Linked DNA regions of Arabidopsis thaliana. The protein of the gene in region 1 interacts with the protein of each later gene in a pairwise test. Each region holds a gene or a part of one and is shown on either strand. Other genes may lie near its edges. The genes, in order: AT4G13620 and AGL101.

What was found.
Region 2: the proteins of AT4G13620 (region 1) and AGL101 interact in a two-hybrid assay, tested with the Arabidopsis thaliana proteins (one large-scale study listed by BioGRID).

What each region holds. Positions count from the first base shown.
Region 1 is NC_003075.7:7,927,500-7,935,997, reverse strand, and holds AT4G13620 (Integrase-type DNA-binding superfamily protein), read right to left. Parts: upstream 3,868-8,498; 5' UTR 3,861-3,867; coding exon 2,694-3,860; 3' UTR 2,419-2,693; downstream 1-2,418. Other genes in the region: AT4G13630 (zein-binding protein (Protein of unknown function, DUF593)), read left to right, coding at 1-518, 595-1,712, 1,864-1,905.
Region 2 is NC_003076.8:9,517,993-9,525,753, reverse strand, and holds AGL101 (AGAMOUS-like 101), read right to left. Parts: upstream 5,479-7,761; coding exon 5,116-5,478; downstream 1-5,115. Other genes in the region: AT5G27065 (uncharacterized protein), read right to left, coding at 1,052-1,087, 1,150-1,425; RLP53 (receptor like protein 53), read left to right, coding at 344-3,220.

The DNA.
Region 1 (8,498 bases):
TAAAGGTTTAGTGGCTGCGTTTATCGATCTTTCCGTTGCGTTTTCGCTACTTTGCGCATCGTTTATCGTTTATGTAACATCGAAGTTCCTCGGTTTATTTGGTTTAGACCTACCATGTCCTTGTGATGGTCTATACAGTGAGTGTTTTCAAGAGAGTTTAAGGAATCTTCCGGTTAAAAAGATCTCTTCTGTTCAAAGATCTGTTAAAAATAGAACACCTTTTGATTCAATTCTGTATAATGGTGGAAAGAAGAGAAAATGTGAGCGTAGACGTGTTCAGTTGGAAGATGAGGTATCTAGTACTACTCCTTCTGTTGGAAAGTTTGAGAATAAGGCTTCAGGGTTCGATCTTTTAACTGCGCAAAGTTTGAAAAAAGGAAGCTTTAAAGTTAAGAGTAAGCGGCTTAGCTTCCATAGGTCGCCGTATGGTTTCAAGAACCATTACCAAAGTTGTTTAGGCCTTAAGAGCTTTGAGGGATCATATGATGAAAATGATCCTCTTCTTGTGAACTCCAATGGTAAGTTTTTTTGTTGTCTTTATTCAATTATATTGGATAGTGAATGTTGATTTTGATGCAAGTTGTAACATTGTAGATAGTGGAAAAGCATTGGAGGATGTGTCGTTGCGGAAAAGTGTTTCACTAAGTTCTGTTGGGTGTGGAGTGGGAGAGGGTGCATGCAGTTCCCCTGGTATGGTACAGAGGACGGTTGAGATGTCAGAACAAGTGCTTGGGGAAGAACGAGCTGCACGTGCTTCGTTAGCTCTTGAACTTGAGAAAGAGAGAAATGCTGCTGCATCTGCTGCAGATGAGGCTTTAGGTATGATATTACGGTTGCAAGAAGAAAAGGCGTCGATAGAGATGGAAGCTAGGCAATATCAGCGGATGATAGAAGAAAAGTCTGCTTTTGATGCGGAAGAGATGAGTATTCTTAAAGAAATTTTGCTTAGGAGGGAGAGGGAGAAACATTTTCTGGAGAAGGAAGTTGATACCTACAGGCAAATGTTTCTTGAGACTGAGCAACCTCACAATACTCCAGATTCTAAACCAGCTCAAATCGAAAGATTGCAGACGCCGCAACAGATTACTGAACCATGGGATGACATGGAGACTGTGAATGTCTCTTCTGGATTTGAGATCTTCACTAATCAGATGGACAATACTGAGTGTGATCAGTCAAGAAGTGAGCCATTTGATGCCCTGAGTGATATAGAACTGAAAGAAAGAGAGGAAGGTGAAACTTTATATGCAGAACTAGTATCAAGAACTAGCGACATTGCTGTTTCTAAGAAGCTTTGTGAGGACCCTCACGACATTGATTGTCATGTACATGACATCCATGTAGTGACTGATGAAGATAACAAGGGGCAACTGAATGTTCCTTCTGACCATGCCACTCAGGATCTGAAACTGGACAGATCACAAAGTGTTTCAGATACAAGTTATGCATTTCCACAAGGGAAAAGTAACATGTCTACCAATATGCGAAGAAATTCAATGTCAGCTATTGACTATGAAAGACTGAAAATAGAGAGTGAAGTTGGGTTGCTGAGAGGTCGGTTAAGAGCTGTACAAAAGGGAAGAGAGAAGATCAGTTTTTCTTCCAAAGATCAGAGCAAATCGCAGGTACAGCGTTGTGGAGATAAAACAAGCCGGTTTTGGGAGGCTAGAAGATCTGGACATCTTGACTCTTCTAGCCCTTCATCCACAATGGTGAGTTTCATCGTTGTGTGCTTTGATATGAGGGTTGAAAAATTGCTAAGAGTGCTCTCTTTGTTTCACAGTTCTTGGTAGTTAAATCTTCCATGGTTTTTTGCTTACCAAGTGGCTGAATCTTGTATGGTTTCAAATGGTGTTTTTGCAGGTAAAGGCTATGTCTATGCCACTGGACCTGCATAGTGCTTGAACTGCAAGGTATGTACTTACTCGAAATAACACGACACGATTATACGCCTAGTGAAAACATGAGCAAGTGTAGTTTTGTAACAATCTCTGCCAAAACTCTAATGTTGGTTATTGCCGGGAGAGTATTGTACTTTGTACTCTAAACGGCGTCGTTTCGAAACAAAAATTGACGCTTTTGTGGTCGGTAAAAAGTTTAAGTTTCTTCTCTTTCCAAATAAGTGATACTTGTCCTCTTTCTATTTCTGTGCCAAAACTTTAGATTTTTCACTTTTGTTTGCATATTCGGAAATACAATTGAAGCTAAAAATGACATAATTATTTCTAAAGTTATATAATCAACTTTTTATTTGGTTGTAGAAACTCATATTGTAGTTGTTGACAAAAGAAAAGATAATCTAAATTCATATTTGCCCTTTAACGCTTCTCTGCCCTATTACTATTCATATTCTCTATTGACCTTTGAGCTTTAGTATAGAATGTAGGAAATATTCTAACATTGGACTTTTAAAGTTGGAGTTGGTGCAACAGAATTATAATATTTTCTCATTAGAAAACAAACACTTTTCTATTTTATGGTTACTAGTAACCGCAAAGAAAAGAACAATTAATTAGCAGACAAAAAAAGGAGAACCACTTGATTATGTGGTCGTAAGAAGAATTACAATGTGTTCAACCCCAAATGCAAACCAATCTTGGCATCATAATATGAATTTCTTTCTTTGGTGGAAACTTTTGATATAAAAAAGGGTAGAAGTAAGTAAAATAAGTTTGACAAATATTAATTTGAAGTCAAGAAGAATGAGGAAATGAGAGAGCATCCCAAATGAGATCCATATCCAAAGAAGGCATCCTACTCAATTGTACACCATCTCCTTCCATCACTTCCTTATGGCTTTTCTGTTTCTTCATCATCACGTCTTCTCCTGACTCCATCTTCATGTGATGATTCTTTTGCTCCGGTGTTCCCACTTTTGGAGGAGGAGGAGAAGGAGAGTTACTTACTTGGGAAGATGAGATCTGTTGAATCTTGGACTCCAAAAGTGAGGCGATCATGCATCGCAAAGAACCGGACTTGAGCTGGTGTTTAAGATCAGGAAAGTTGAGGTGTGCGAATTCGCCACGAAGGATATAAGCTGCTGTATCGTAAGCCATTGCTGCTTGCTCAGCGGTTTCAAAAGTGCCGAGCCAAACACGGGTTCTGTTCCTTGGAAGCCTAATCTCTGCGACCCATTTGCCCCAGTGTCTTTGTCTCACTCCTCTATACAGTTTTGTTGGGGTCGTCGTCTGAACAACCTTTCTTGTTTTTGACTTCATGGGTTGAGTCTTGGTGGTACTTAGCCAATAGTTTCCAAAACCTTTCGAGGGATAGTTGGTTAGAGTTTTATTGATCTCTACCCATTCGTTTCTGTTTTGGTCTGATTGATAAAAGGAGTTTGGGATGTATTTATGGTAAGGGCTCATGTTGCTTTCGGATTGAGAAAGTTCTAGTAGCTTTGGTTCTTTAAGGAACAAAGTAAGGTTTGGAGGTTTAGAAGGATGATGATCAGGATGTTGAGACTGAGGAAAAGATTCTAGAAAGTTCCAAGGAACAGAAGCTACCGGAGATGGATGAATAGAAGATGTGAGCTCATGATCATGAGGCGACACAAAGTAGCTCGGAGTCGAAGAAGCAGGAAGAAGAGGAGATTTCATACCTTCCAAAAATATTGGAACACCGAGAAGTTGTGGCGGCGTCGAAGAACTCAAGAACCCGTAGATTCCAGAAGACAAGAGCTTGTCGTGCATGAAGCTAGTTTCTATTTTAGGAAACTGATCTTCCATGTTCCTTTTTTTGTTTGTTTTTTGAGTGTTTGTCCAGAGAATGAAGCCTGTTCTTAATTTTGACAAAATAGGTGGAGAATAAATGTTTATATATACGAGAATTAAGGAGTGTTGTGTGTGTATTGGTGTGATCATGTGGAGATAATATTAGAAAATTTAAGGAACCTAACTTTATTGTCCGAAAAAAACATTATCATCTGACTCAGATCTACGCTCTGCCAAGCTTAATTTGTTCATATGTAAACTAGAGAATTAAAGAGTCTCACAAACACTTTTGGTTAAACAATATTATTGTTAATATTTTGTATTTTTTTCTTTCATAAACAATAATTTGACCTTTATTTTTTCTTATCTTGCGACTTGTTCGTGGCCTCCATTTTACGTTCGCTTTTTCTTATAACTTATCAATCCAAACGTGACAGCTTAGCCCTAACTCATTTAGGTGTTATATATAGCCATATATTGTTTTTTTTTTGGTATAGGGTTTTATATTTAAATTTTACGAATGATGTTGTTGTTGGATACCAACGTTGTTTTCATTTGGTCACTTTAAATATTTAAAAGTTCTTCTAGTTTTTTCATATTGTATAAATACGAAATTTGCTTTTCAATTTGATGGTTGTACTAATATTACATTATTGTTATATCTTGTTAATAAGAGATATATATTCAATATATATGTATATACAGTACACGAAAAATAAAAAGGATGTGGTTTAATGTTCAATATCTTGTTAATTAAACTTAGAACATTAAATCTGTAGTATATTCAAAGTCATAGCAAGAAAAAGAAGTACCAATTTTTTTTATATTTTTTTTATATGTAAATTTGGTTTCCCTTACTAAGATATATATATTTCTTGTAAGAACCTTAATCTTTAAGCATTCTTTAAGCTTTTTTTTTTCAATAAACAAACGATTCTAACTGTGTTTAATTTATTATTCTCGTCTGTTTAGTTATCTTTAGAGTTTTTAAGGCGAAACCTAGGAATATGACTTTGGACCATACAGTATAGGACTTTTCTTTGCTAGATTCCATCTCAAAAAACATAAATTTTCACTATTATATTATAGTAATATATATAGATGAATACACAAATGTTTAATGTATATTTAGTGATCCGCTGTGAAATGCAAATTACAAAAAATATATCTATATATATATATATGTACGTCTGAATACATACTGAATAGTAATTATTAAACTTCTTAATTACAGTTGTACGGGACTAATTATTGGAGCGATGTGATACCAAGAAAACATTATTGAAACGATATTTCATGATAACATTTATCTAATTGGAGAATAAAATTTAATTTGTAAACCACGTATAGTTTAGCACAGATAATCACCACAAATGCTTATAATTAGTGAGCCCATAATTATTAATATTATCATCCAAATACAATGATTAGCTTCAAGTTTTGGCCTCTAATTGAATCCAACTAATGCGGAAGTCATGGGTTGTCTTCTTTTCCTCTCTAGAACATCAGTTTATGTCTGCTTCTTTATTTTACAATATTGTAATAACTTGCTGATGTGGTCTCTTAACTTTTTAAATTAATCGGATTCACCCATAAATTATTCTGTTCGTTCATGTTAGTCACTGTTACAATGGATACAATTCCTTGCAAGAACACTTTTTCCGACGCATATACTCATCTCTTGCTTCATCTTTAGTTACTCCAATTTTTTATATTGTCAATTTAGATTTTGAGACTAAATTTAAGTAACTAATCAAGATATAAGTTTCTTTTTTTAATATAATATAGTTCATTAAACATGTTTAACAATGAATCAAACAGGTAAGATAAGGGTCGAATTGGAAGCTTCGTATTCTAATTTGAGATGATGCACATTTTGTCCTTTGAGATGACTGTTGGGTCGTTTTACGAAAAGAATTATTATTTGATTTATGGAAACAAAATGTTAACGACAAAATAAAATTTATAAAAAGGCTTAAGAGGAAAAAAAAAAGCAGTTGACCAAAAAAATCAGAGGAAAAAAGTATTTCTTTCTTATTTTTATTTTTAACCTATTCCAGTTTCATGTAAATTAATTTGATCCAATTTGATCTCTAACATATTTTAATAGTAAATGTATGTCTTAGTATGGGCTTTAATCACTGATGGTCACCGTGAAGACATTTTTAACCATGTATACCAGACATCTAATGAAAAAAGGCTACAATTATATTAGAACTTTTCATAAAAAAATTGCTTTGGTCACTGTCTCATAATTTAAAAACTAATACTCAATATAAATTAGCAAGTTGGCGCTATTATACGACATTCCTAAATACATCATCTCAAAAACAAATATTTAAGGAGGTTTTGTTTATTAAATAATATCTCTATTTTCTATCATTTATAGATAGGACATAAAAAACATAATATAAAATGATGACAAGTGACAACATTAAAAAAAAACAAAAAAAAAAACAAGTGACAACATATGACTTTATCTGGTTTACTAATTCATTTTTCCAATTTCGTTATTTGTTTTCATAAAAATAGCATTCTCGATCTCAAAACATTTCACATTTTACTTTCGTACGTTAATATAAAATAGAATAGACATATAAAAAATGTTAGCAATTGTCTATGATTTTGCTTTATTGAAGAAAATACAGGTTCTACCCTTTTAATGTTATATTCCAATAATTATTTTATTTTATACATAAATAATTAAAAAAATTTGTTTACTGCTACATGTTCTATTAGATTTCATGATTTTTTTTCGAAATATATACCACTATTTTGCCGTTATATGTTTCAATAAAAAGTTAATGGCTGAGCTTCCGAGTGAGATAAGCGTGTCTATAAACAATTGTTTAAGCTTAAAACTCAAAATCTACGGATAGAGCATTTTTTTTTTTTTTTTTTGTCAAAGACCAAAAGAAAAACAAATGTTGATAGAGAATAGCAACAGACGGCCTAGTACATATCATTGTATTAATCTGAAATAAATTTCATATACATACGATTTGTGCTTCTATTAAATATTAAAACATTTGTTAGATTTATACTATAATTAAAGCTGAAAAATAAGAAATTGTGTTGATGGAGGAGCCATATTCCTCTATTTCAATTGCTGAATTTTTAATTTTGTCGTTATTGTTTTCTTTCTATTGGTCACAAATGTTTTTATTCACTATCTAAATTATTTACGCAAGTACTTTGAAATATATTTCTTACTCTAGTAATCTTGCTAGAAGAGTTTTCGTATATCTAGCTTTTTGTTCTCATTGAACGATATGAATCTAGCTAGCTTGCAGTACAAAGGCTTTAAGTGCAAGTTGAATAACTAAGGTATAGAATCTCAAACATACATCATGTGCATTCTTTTACACCAAAAAAAAAAAAATTACACTAAAAACCATACATCATGTGCCTTTCCATTTTTGATTTTTTTTATCGATCCTAATCATTCGACATTTCGACTATTTTAAAGTTGATATTATATCAAAAAACTTATGAGTTGTAGTGTTGCATAGTAAAGATAGTAGATAAGTAAATGCTTCCTTGTCCAATGAATTAGCCAAAGCTATCTAGTAATCGTTTTATTTTGTAAGAAGAAAGTTTTGAATCTTAGGTTCAAACATCTCTCTTGATATACACCTATTAAACTATCCATAATATGTCTTTTTTTTTTGGATACAATCTATCCTTAATATCTCATCTTCCATTAATCTTGGAAAAGTGATCACTAGTCGATTTCATGAAAATCAATGTTAGTAAATGTATACCCTATAATATTTTAGGTTTAACACCATTTGGTTCAATGATAAATTTTAGGTATAACATTCTCTTATATAAAGAGGAGACTGATTTAAGTTTCCCAAACTATGATAAACATAAATATAAATAATATATTTAGAGATAATTGTAAATATTCCTAAACTAAGATATGACAATTATCTAGATTTTTCTCGGTCTTCATGGTTTCCATATTTTTGGATGATCATGTTGATCGTTGATTTCCGGTTCTTTTAATATTCAAAAAGTTAAACAAAACCCAACACTTTGAGAATGCTTATTTATAACAGTAAAATAACTTGCTTACTATTTTTTTATATTCAAAGATTTCAATTATAGTAAAAATTTATTATTTATTTTAAATAAATTTCACATCTGTGAAAAAGAAAATAAAAAGATCATCACGTATATCGACTATCGAGACTCGTATAGACACTACTCAGACTAGATGCAACTTTATTTTTTTGTGACTTCGGAAGATTTTATTTAAAATTAATCATATATTCATATGGTAGTAGTGTATAAAGAATATTAAAGATTATTTACCAAAGAAAAAAGAATATTAAAGTCAATTTGTCGAAGGTGCCATGTGAATTTATGGATGCTATATATGCATTCTAATATAAAATTTCTTGAACTCTTTGAATTAGGTGAAGTTTGCTCGTAAGATTCTTTACAATTAGTTTAATTTCCAAAATATTCTTTTACCACGGCTTAAGACAACTACAGAACAAAACTAAATGCTTTTTAGCTTTGGCAAATGGAAAACACGTCATATCACCTATTTTAGGAATCATTCATATTAGTTTGTCTTAGTACAAAAATAACCAAAGAACATGTGAGGCTGACTGCACAAAGGAGTGCTAGTAAAAGAGGGCAAGAGAATGTAATGTGGAATAACTCATCATGCACAATTGCACATCAGAATGAGCTAATTAATAATTTATTACTTTTGTTAATAATCTAAGATATAGAACCATGTTTATAAAGTTACATATATACAATGTTGTCTTC
Region 2 (7,761 bases), on another chromosome or scaffold:
AAGTCATTGCTTACCTGCAGAATTCATTTTCCACGATCAATTTAATTTGGCTGGACAAAATACAACGTTTTTTTTTCATGTTCCCTGTACGTAACTAAAAAGTAAGACAAAAGGAGTGGAAATGGACATTATTCAACGTAAAGACTTTTTAAGTCGTTGCGTTTAACGTGAAAAACGCCTCGGAGGGTCAAGCTGTGTTGGAATTATCTTTGTGGAATAGAGTCTATTATTTTTGTATATAAAGAGATGGGCATGAAAACATGTTACGTACCATCACAATTTCCAGATTTTATTTTTTTGCTTTTTCACTATCAATATTCAAGAAAATTAAATTAGCTTAAGAATGATGGAAGGCTTTTGGAACTCAAAGAGTATCATTCGTATTACTCTCTCTTTTATTTTCTTATTCATTTGTCATTTTCTGGACGTGCTTGCGGCTCCAACTAGGAACTTGTGTCGTCCCGAACAAAGGGATGCACTCCTCGCGTTCAAAAACGAGTTTGAGATTGGGAAGCCTTCTCCTGATCATTGTAAGATTTATGGCATTGAATCTCCTCGGAAGACGGACTCATGGGGGAATAACAGCGACTGTTGTAATTGGGAGGGAGTCACGTGCAATGCCAAGTCCGGGGAAGTGATCGAGCTAGACCTAAGCTGCAGCTCTCTCCATGGCCGGTTTCATTCCAACAGCAGTATTCGAAACCTTCATTTCCTAACCACTCTAGACCTTTCATTTAATGATTTTAAAGGTCAAATCACGTCATCAATTGAAAATCTTTCTCATCTCACCTATCTCGACCTTTCTTCTAATCATTTTTCGGGTCAGATTCTGAATTCAATCGGAAACCTTTCTCGTCTCACCTATCTCAACCTTTTTGATAATCAATTTTCGGGTCAGGCTCCATCATCAATTTGTAATCTTTCTCATCTCACTTTTCTAGATCTTTCTTATAATCGGTTTTTTGGTCAGTTTCCGTCTTCTATCGGAGGTCTTTCTCATCTCACCACTCTCAGCCTTTTCAGTAACAAATTTTCGGGTCAGATTCCATCTTCAATTGGAAATCTTTCTAATCTCACCACTCTCGACCTTTCTAATAACAATTTTTCGGGTCAGATTCCATCTTTTATTGGAAACCTTTCTCAACTTACCTTTCTCGGCCTCTTTAGTAACAATTTCGTTGGTGAAATCCCATCTTCTTTTGGCAATCTAAACCAGCTGACCCGCTTATATGTTGATGACAATAAGCTCAGCGGAAACTTTCCCAATGTCCTACTGAACTTGACAGGGTTGTCACTTTTATCACTCTCCAACAATAAGTTCACAGGCACGCTTCCTCCTAATATCACTTCACTATCCAACTTGATGGATTTTGATGCAAGTGACAACGCCTTCACCGGAACGTTCCCTTCTTTTCTCTTCACCATTCCTTCTTTGACTTACATTCGTTTGAATGGTAACCAACTCAAAGGCACTCTTGAGTTTGGAAATATATCTTCACCATCTAACCTATATGAGTTAGACATTGGCAACAACAACTTCATAGGACCAATCCCTAGTTCCATTTCCAAATTAGTCAAACTTTTCCGACTTGACATTTCCCATTTAAACACCCAAGGCCCAGTTGACTTTAGTATCTTCTCCCATCTCAAGTCACTCCTAGATCTAAACATATCCCATTTGAACACCACCACTAGGATCGACTTGAACTATTTCTTATCATATTTCAAAAGGCTCCTTTTATTGGATCTCTCAGGCAACCATGTTTCGGCCACAAACAAAAGTTCAGTTTCAGATCCTCCTTCGCAATTGATACAATCTTTGTACTTGTCAGGGTGCGGTATCACTGAATTTCCAGAGTTCGTAAGAACCCAACACGAATTGGGGTTTCTAGACATTTCCAACAACAAAATCAAAGGTCAAGTTCCTGACTGGTTATGGAGGCTACCAATCTTGTACTACGTGAATCTTTCCAACAACACTTTAATCGGTTTCCAAAGACCATCGAAACCTGAACCATCTCTGCTGTACTTGCTTGGCTCCAACAATAACTTCATAGGCAAGATTCCTTCTTTCATATGCGGGTTGCGTTCTCTAAACACACTCGATTTATCTGACAACAACTTTAATGGTTCAATCCCTCGTTGCATGGGACATCTCAAGAGTACTCTTTCAGTTCTAAACCTTCGTCAGAATCATCTTAGCGGAGGTCTTCCAAAGCAAATATTTGAAATACTGAGGTCTCTTGATGTCGGCCATAACCAGCTAGTGGGAAAGCTACCAAGATCTTTGAGTTTTTTCTCTACTCTTGAAGTTTTGAACGTGGAAAGCAACAGAATCAACGACACGTTTCCCTTCTGGTTGAGTTCTCTACCGAAGCTACAAGTTCTTGTATTACGCTCCAATGCATTCCATGGACCAATACATGAAGCCACATTCCCTGAGTTGCGCATCATCGATATATCACATAATCGCTTCAATGGAACTTTGCCAACAGAGTACTTTGTGAAGTGGAGTGCTATGTCATCACTTGGAAAAAACGAAGACCAGTCTAACGAAAAGTACATGGGATCAGGCCTTTACTACCAAGATTCAATGGTTTTGATGAATAAAGGTGTAGCGATGGAGCTGGTACGTATCCTCACAATCTACACAGCAGTCGACTTTTCCGGAAACAGATTTGAAGGAGAGATTCCAAAGTCCATTGGTCTATTGAAAGAGCTTCTCGTGCTCAGCTTGTCAAACAATGCTTTCAGTGGCCACATGCCTTCATCTATGGGGAACCTGACAGCTCTCGAGTCATTGGACGTTTCTAAGAACAAGCTTACAGGAGAGATTCCACAAGAGCTAGGGGACCTTTCGTTCCTTGCGTATATGAACTTCTCTCATAACCAGCTTGCAGGCCTAGTACCAGGAGGCCAGCAATTTCTAACGCAAAATTGCTCTGCCTTTGAAGATAACTTGGGACTTTTCGGCTCTTCTCTTGAAGAAGTTTGCAGAGATATTCACACGCCAGCATCACATCAACAGTTTGAAACGCCGGAAACAGAGGAAGAAGACGAAGATCTGATTAGTTGGATAGCAGCTGCAATAGGATTCGGACCTGGTATTGCCTTTGGTTTGATGTTTGGATACATACTCGTTTCCTATAAACCAGAGTGGTTCATGAACCCTTTTGACCGAAACAATCGTAGACAGAAAAGACACAAAACAACTCACTAGAGAGGTAATGTTCTGACTCTTAAAACGAATTAGTTAGCAAACATTAGAATAAATTACGTGAACAAACTTTTGAATATAGGTCCGTAATTGATACCGAAATTTGTGAAATATCTCTTTGATCTTTCGTTTTCGCACACAGCACCCAGAAGCAATCGAAAATCTGTTTCGGTGATTAAACCGCTGAAATTTTTAAAAATGTAAACAACTCTTATGTTTGGAATTTGGTGCTTTCTTATAGGCACAATCCTAGGGTGTCCAAAGATAACAACAGAGAAGGAGGTATGAGAGAAATGAAGCTCATATACAAAGATCTGCATTTATGGTTTAATTTGTTTTGTCTAAGAACTCTCAAATGTCTAGTTAATACCTTTCATTTTGCTTGTGAATAAGTGAACCATAAGTACATTTGGAGTGATATAAAGCTTTTAGTTTAATGGCAATGTAAGTTTCATGTGATAGTTAAAACCAAACCTTTTTACGGCGAAGAAGTAGAACGATGGAAGTGAGTTCAAAAAAAACAACCATATATACTAGTTTCTGTGGTCATATACAAAATCATGTTATAGAAAACACACACACACAAAGTATAGAAGAAAGAAAAACAACATGTTTCTTATGTTAAACTCTAGGGGTTTGTGCAAGTCACCACCACTATGACGAGTTATTTTAGATTCTGAAAGCTCTCAAGAAGTCTGTGTAGCATTTCAAGGTAGGATAGACAAAACGTCACTTGAAGACATGTAAAGTTGCAAAATTCCGCTAGTAGTTCTGTTTTCATGTTTTGGTAGAGGTACTCTCAATAAGAATCTAAAATATAATGAAAACAACATTTTATATATAACTATGAATTTGGTAATTAAGACATAGACCTCTGCAGACTGCAGTATGCCAAGGGCTAATTAACTCTCGAGAATCCGGTGAAGATTTACGGATCAAAGTTTGCATCAGTAAGCCAACAAGAGCAAAACAATACCAGATTAAGGCAACTACATTAAACTTGGCTAAAGAACTTGTATGCTTATGATTTTACTCTCTATAATATCATCTTCGAAATTCAGATACGTGAGCATATGGGCATCAATCAAAAACCCTGTGCCTTAAATTCAACAATAATGAATAATGAGTGAGAAGTGTACACTTAAAACCTTAACATTATCACTAGCCTTCTGGAATAATTAAGCTACTGTATAGCTTCATAATTGGCATATACAATTTGTTCTATAAGCATGAACTTGACAAAAATTTCAGAAACTGACTAGATATCACACATTAAAACCTGTTGCAGTCTTAAGTACAACAATGTCTAACATATATAAAGACTTATAAGGGGATCACCTTTAAAACAATAACGCTCCACATGACACTAATTAACATCAAGATCCTTAAGTTTACGATTAACCACAGAATCTATCCACCGCGTGACACAAGACTGTTCACTCTCAGTCCTCCGGATACACTAAAGACCTATCAAGAAAACTCACTAAGGCATTGTAATCTGGGAACTCACTGGCATCTAAATCCAACAACTGAACAAAGTCAGTTTTTTTTCCACATCTTGGACAAAACATTAGTATTAAGTATTAACAACAACTTTTGACGGAAGCTGCTACAAGAGCGTCTGACATATCAAAGTGTCAGGTAATATGATTATCATATCCTCTTCTATAAGCTTTCCTCCATTGAGTTCATTCACAAATTGAACCGAAAATTTCACAGAATATCTTGCTCAATTACTCAATTAGTTGTCTTACCTGCATCAATTATGGACATCTAACATTCAATGTCTAATGTATATTCAAACTCAAATTTAAGACTCATAGACAAAAATAGAATTGAGAAAATAGCATTCATAGTTAGGAAAACATACAATTCAACAGAAACTCTTAATCAGACAATTAAACGAACACATAATCTAAACTAGAAACAGAACGAGTCAGGGACTTGGTCTGATTCTCGGGTTGTAGTAACAGAAGCTTATCTTGTAGCACCCGTAGACCCCTTTCTAACGAATCCTTCATCTCTAAGACTTTCCCTGAGAGCTTATTGTCGTCGAGGATCTTCTTACGTAGAAACAGAGAAAGATTGGTTCTTTTCTTCCGTCGCTCTCTCTCGTTTAGTTTGGTAAACCTCTCTGCCATGTCTCGAACCTTGGATTCATCCTCCGGCCATGTCTTGAAGAGTTCTCCGTCACGACCATAATATATGACACAGACTTCGATGTTGCACAGAGTTGAAAGCTCCAAGGCTTTCTTGAACATGGTCTGTTCTCTCATTGGTAAACCTTCTCCATCACTCCTCCTCCTCTCAAATCACAAGCGACGAAACAATACTCTCCGCTCTCTCACTCTCTGCTTGAATTTATTTGATTAGTCTTTTAACGCTTTCTTCTCTTCTCTTCTCTGCAGGCTTCATTTGATTAGTTTCTGTCTAATTTCTTCTAATAATCTTCAGAGTATATTCAGTTAGATCCGTTTTGTTTTCTTCGTGTTTAGTAATAATAATGGATACATGTATGAAAGCTTGGTGTCCACTTCAAGAACACTTTCTTCCTCGGAGAGCTTCCAAGGAAAATTTGGACAGGTTCCGCCATGGATTTCGACTATGCTCACTACGATCTAACCGAAGGAAGAAAAGCTAAAGTCGATGAGGTAACTTCGCTGTCAAGAAAAGCCTACATGAAGCAATTGGCTAAGGGCTATAAATTTGAATCGCACCCGGATTCTCGCTTTCAGAAACAAACCTCAAGCTCTGTTTCCTAGTAATCACTCTGCTTTTCTTCACCAGCAGCGTTAACCCGTAAAGCCTCGTAAAAACATTTCCTCAGACTTGTGAGAGAATCTTGAATGCAAGTGGCATTGTGGATGACTTCTACCTTAACTTGACAAGCCCATGTATTTCCTATCTACTAGCCCATCTAAAGCCCATGTATTTAGGTTTCTAGCAAGTATATTCATTATATATATATATGAGTGTAATGAACATCAATTAGTTTTTTTTTTTTTTTTACAAGTGTGTTTTAATTATAATACAAAGCCAAATGTAACATGCCAATATTTTACAAACACTAAAGTAAAAAAAATCATAAGTCCAAAAGCTCAAATAAGAGAACCCTAAACTGAAGGAAAAACTTGTATACAACATATAAAACACGTGTCAAATGAGAAACAAGTTGGAAGACATGTGGGAAGTTGAAGAGGAGGAGGGAGTCTCCGATTATCGAAAAGTTGTTGTGATGTCGGAAGCTTCATTCTAAGCAGAAATCGCCGGAAAGCTTATTCATCTTCTTCGCCCAAACAAACCAAGGCGAAATTCCAATTGACTTTTGTTGCAAATATGACTCCACTTGATACAAATCTGTAAATCTTCTTCATCTTCTTCTTTAATCAAAAAGTTTTCAATCGTTAAGGAAATTTTGCTATTTGGGGCTTGCTTTCATTCAAACCTACGAACAAAACTTCAATCAAATCCAAAGCATCGGTCCAAACACAAAATAACTGAAGCTAAAGAGAAACGAGAGAATGAAAGACTAAAAACAAATCCGGACAAAAGCCAGTACTAGCCATCTGAATCGCCAGAGGCTGAATCGATGGAGACATAACCAGCCACCGTTGCAGAAGAAGCCAATCAGTACTGGAAGTGTCAGCCAACAGTGGTAAACAGAGCCACCGATGTCGGAAAAAACAGCTTCCACCGCTTATACGCAAGTGATGCCAGACGCAGAGCCCAACGACATTGTGACATAAGTCTCCATAAAAACTCTAGCCCCCAAAATCAGGTCGAGAACCTATTTTCTCTCTGAAAGGTATTAGAGAGAGAAGAGGGAGAGAAAAGATCCTCCCGAAAAAATGACATCAATAAGGGTATTTAGGGTTGCCTTGCAACCTCTATTTCACCCTTAATTTCATCTTATAATCTATAAATAGTTTTAGTTTTGCTTTTATTTCTCAACGACGACGTGGTTAACTTCTTCATCTCCATCCTTCTTAATCTTCTTCATAGCTGTCGACGCCACGCTCTCCCTTTCCTCCGTCGGATCCACTACTACTTCCACCGGATCCACCTTTTTTCAAAGTTCTCGGAGACAACGAAGAAGACTAAGCATGTCGGAGGAAACTTTCTGAAGAAATTTGAGGGATCAAGGACTGAAAATCAACCTCCTCCATCAAGTAAGGTAATGTGTCTAAACTTTCTTTTTAGGCTGAACAAGAGAAAATGATGCTGGTTGGTTTAGGCTTATAGGTTTGGAATCAAGAAGCTAGAATGTAATAGTTTGTCATCGTAGAATTTAGACAGAATTTCCAATGGAAAAAGGAGAAGAGACATTGTGGTTGGTTCAAAACCAAGATAAATATACAAAACAATCACTTAAAGTAGTTAGAGTGATTTTGGTTTAGAATAGCATGGGAGCACATCTAAGAGAGTGGAAAAGTCTACAAGTGTTGACTCAATTTGAGAGTAGATTGGTCTAGTACCTCTGAGAGAACACTGTTAGTTCTACAAGTACATACCAAATAAGTATATTGGGTAAAAGATAAATTTGG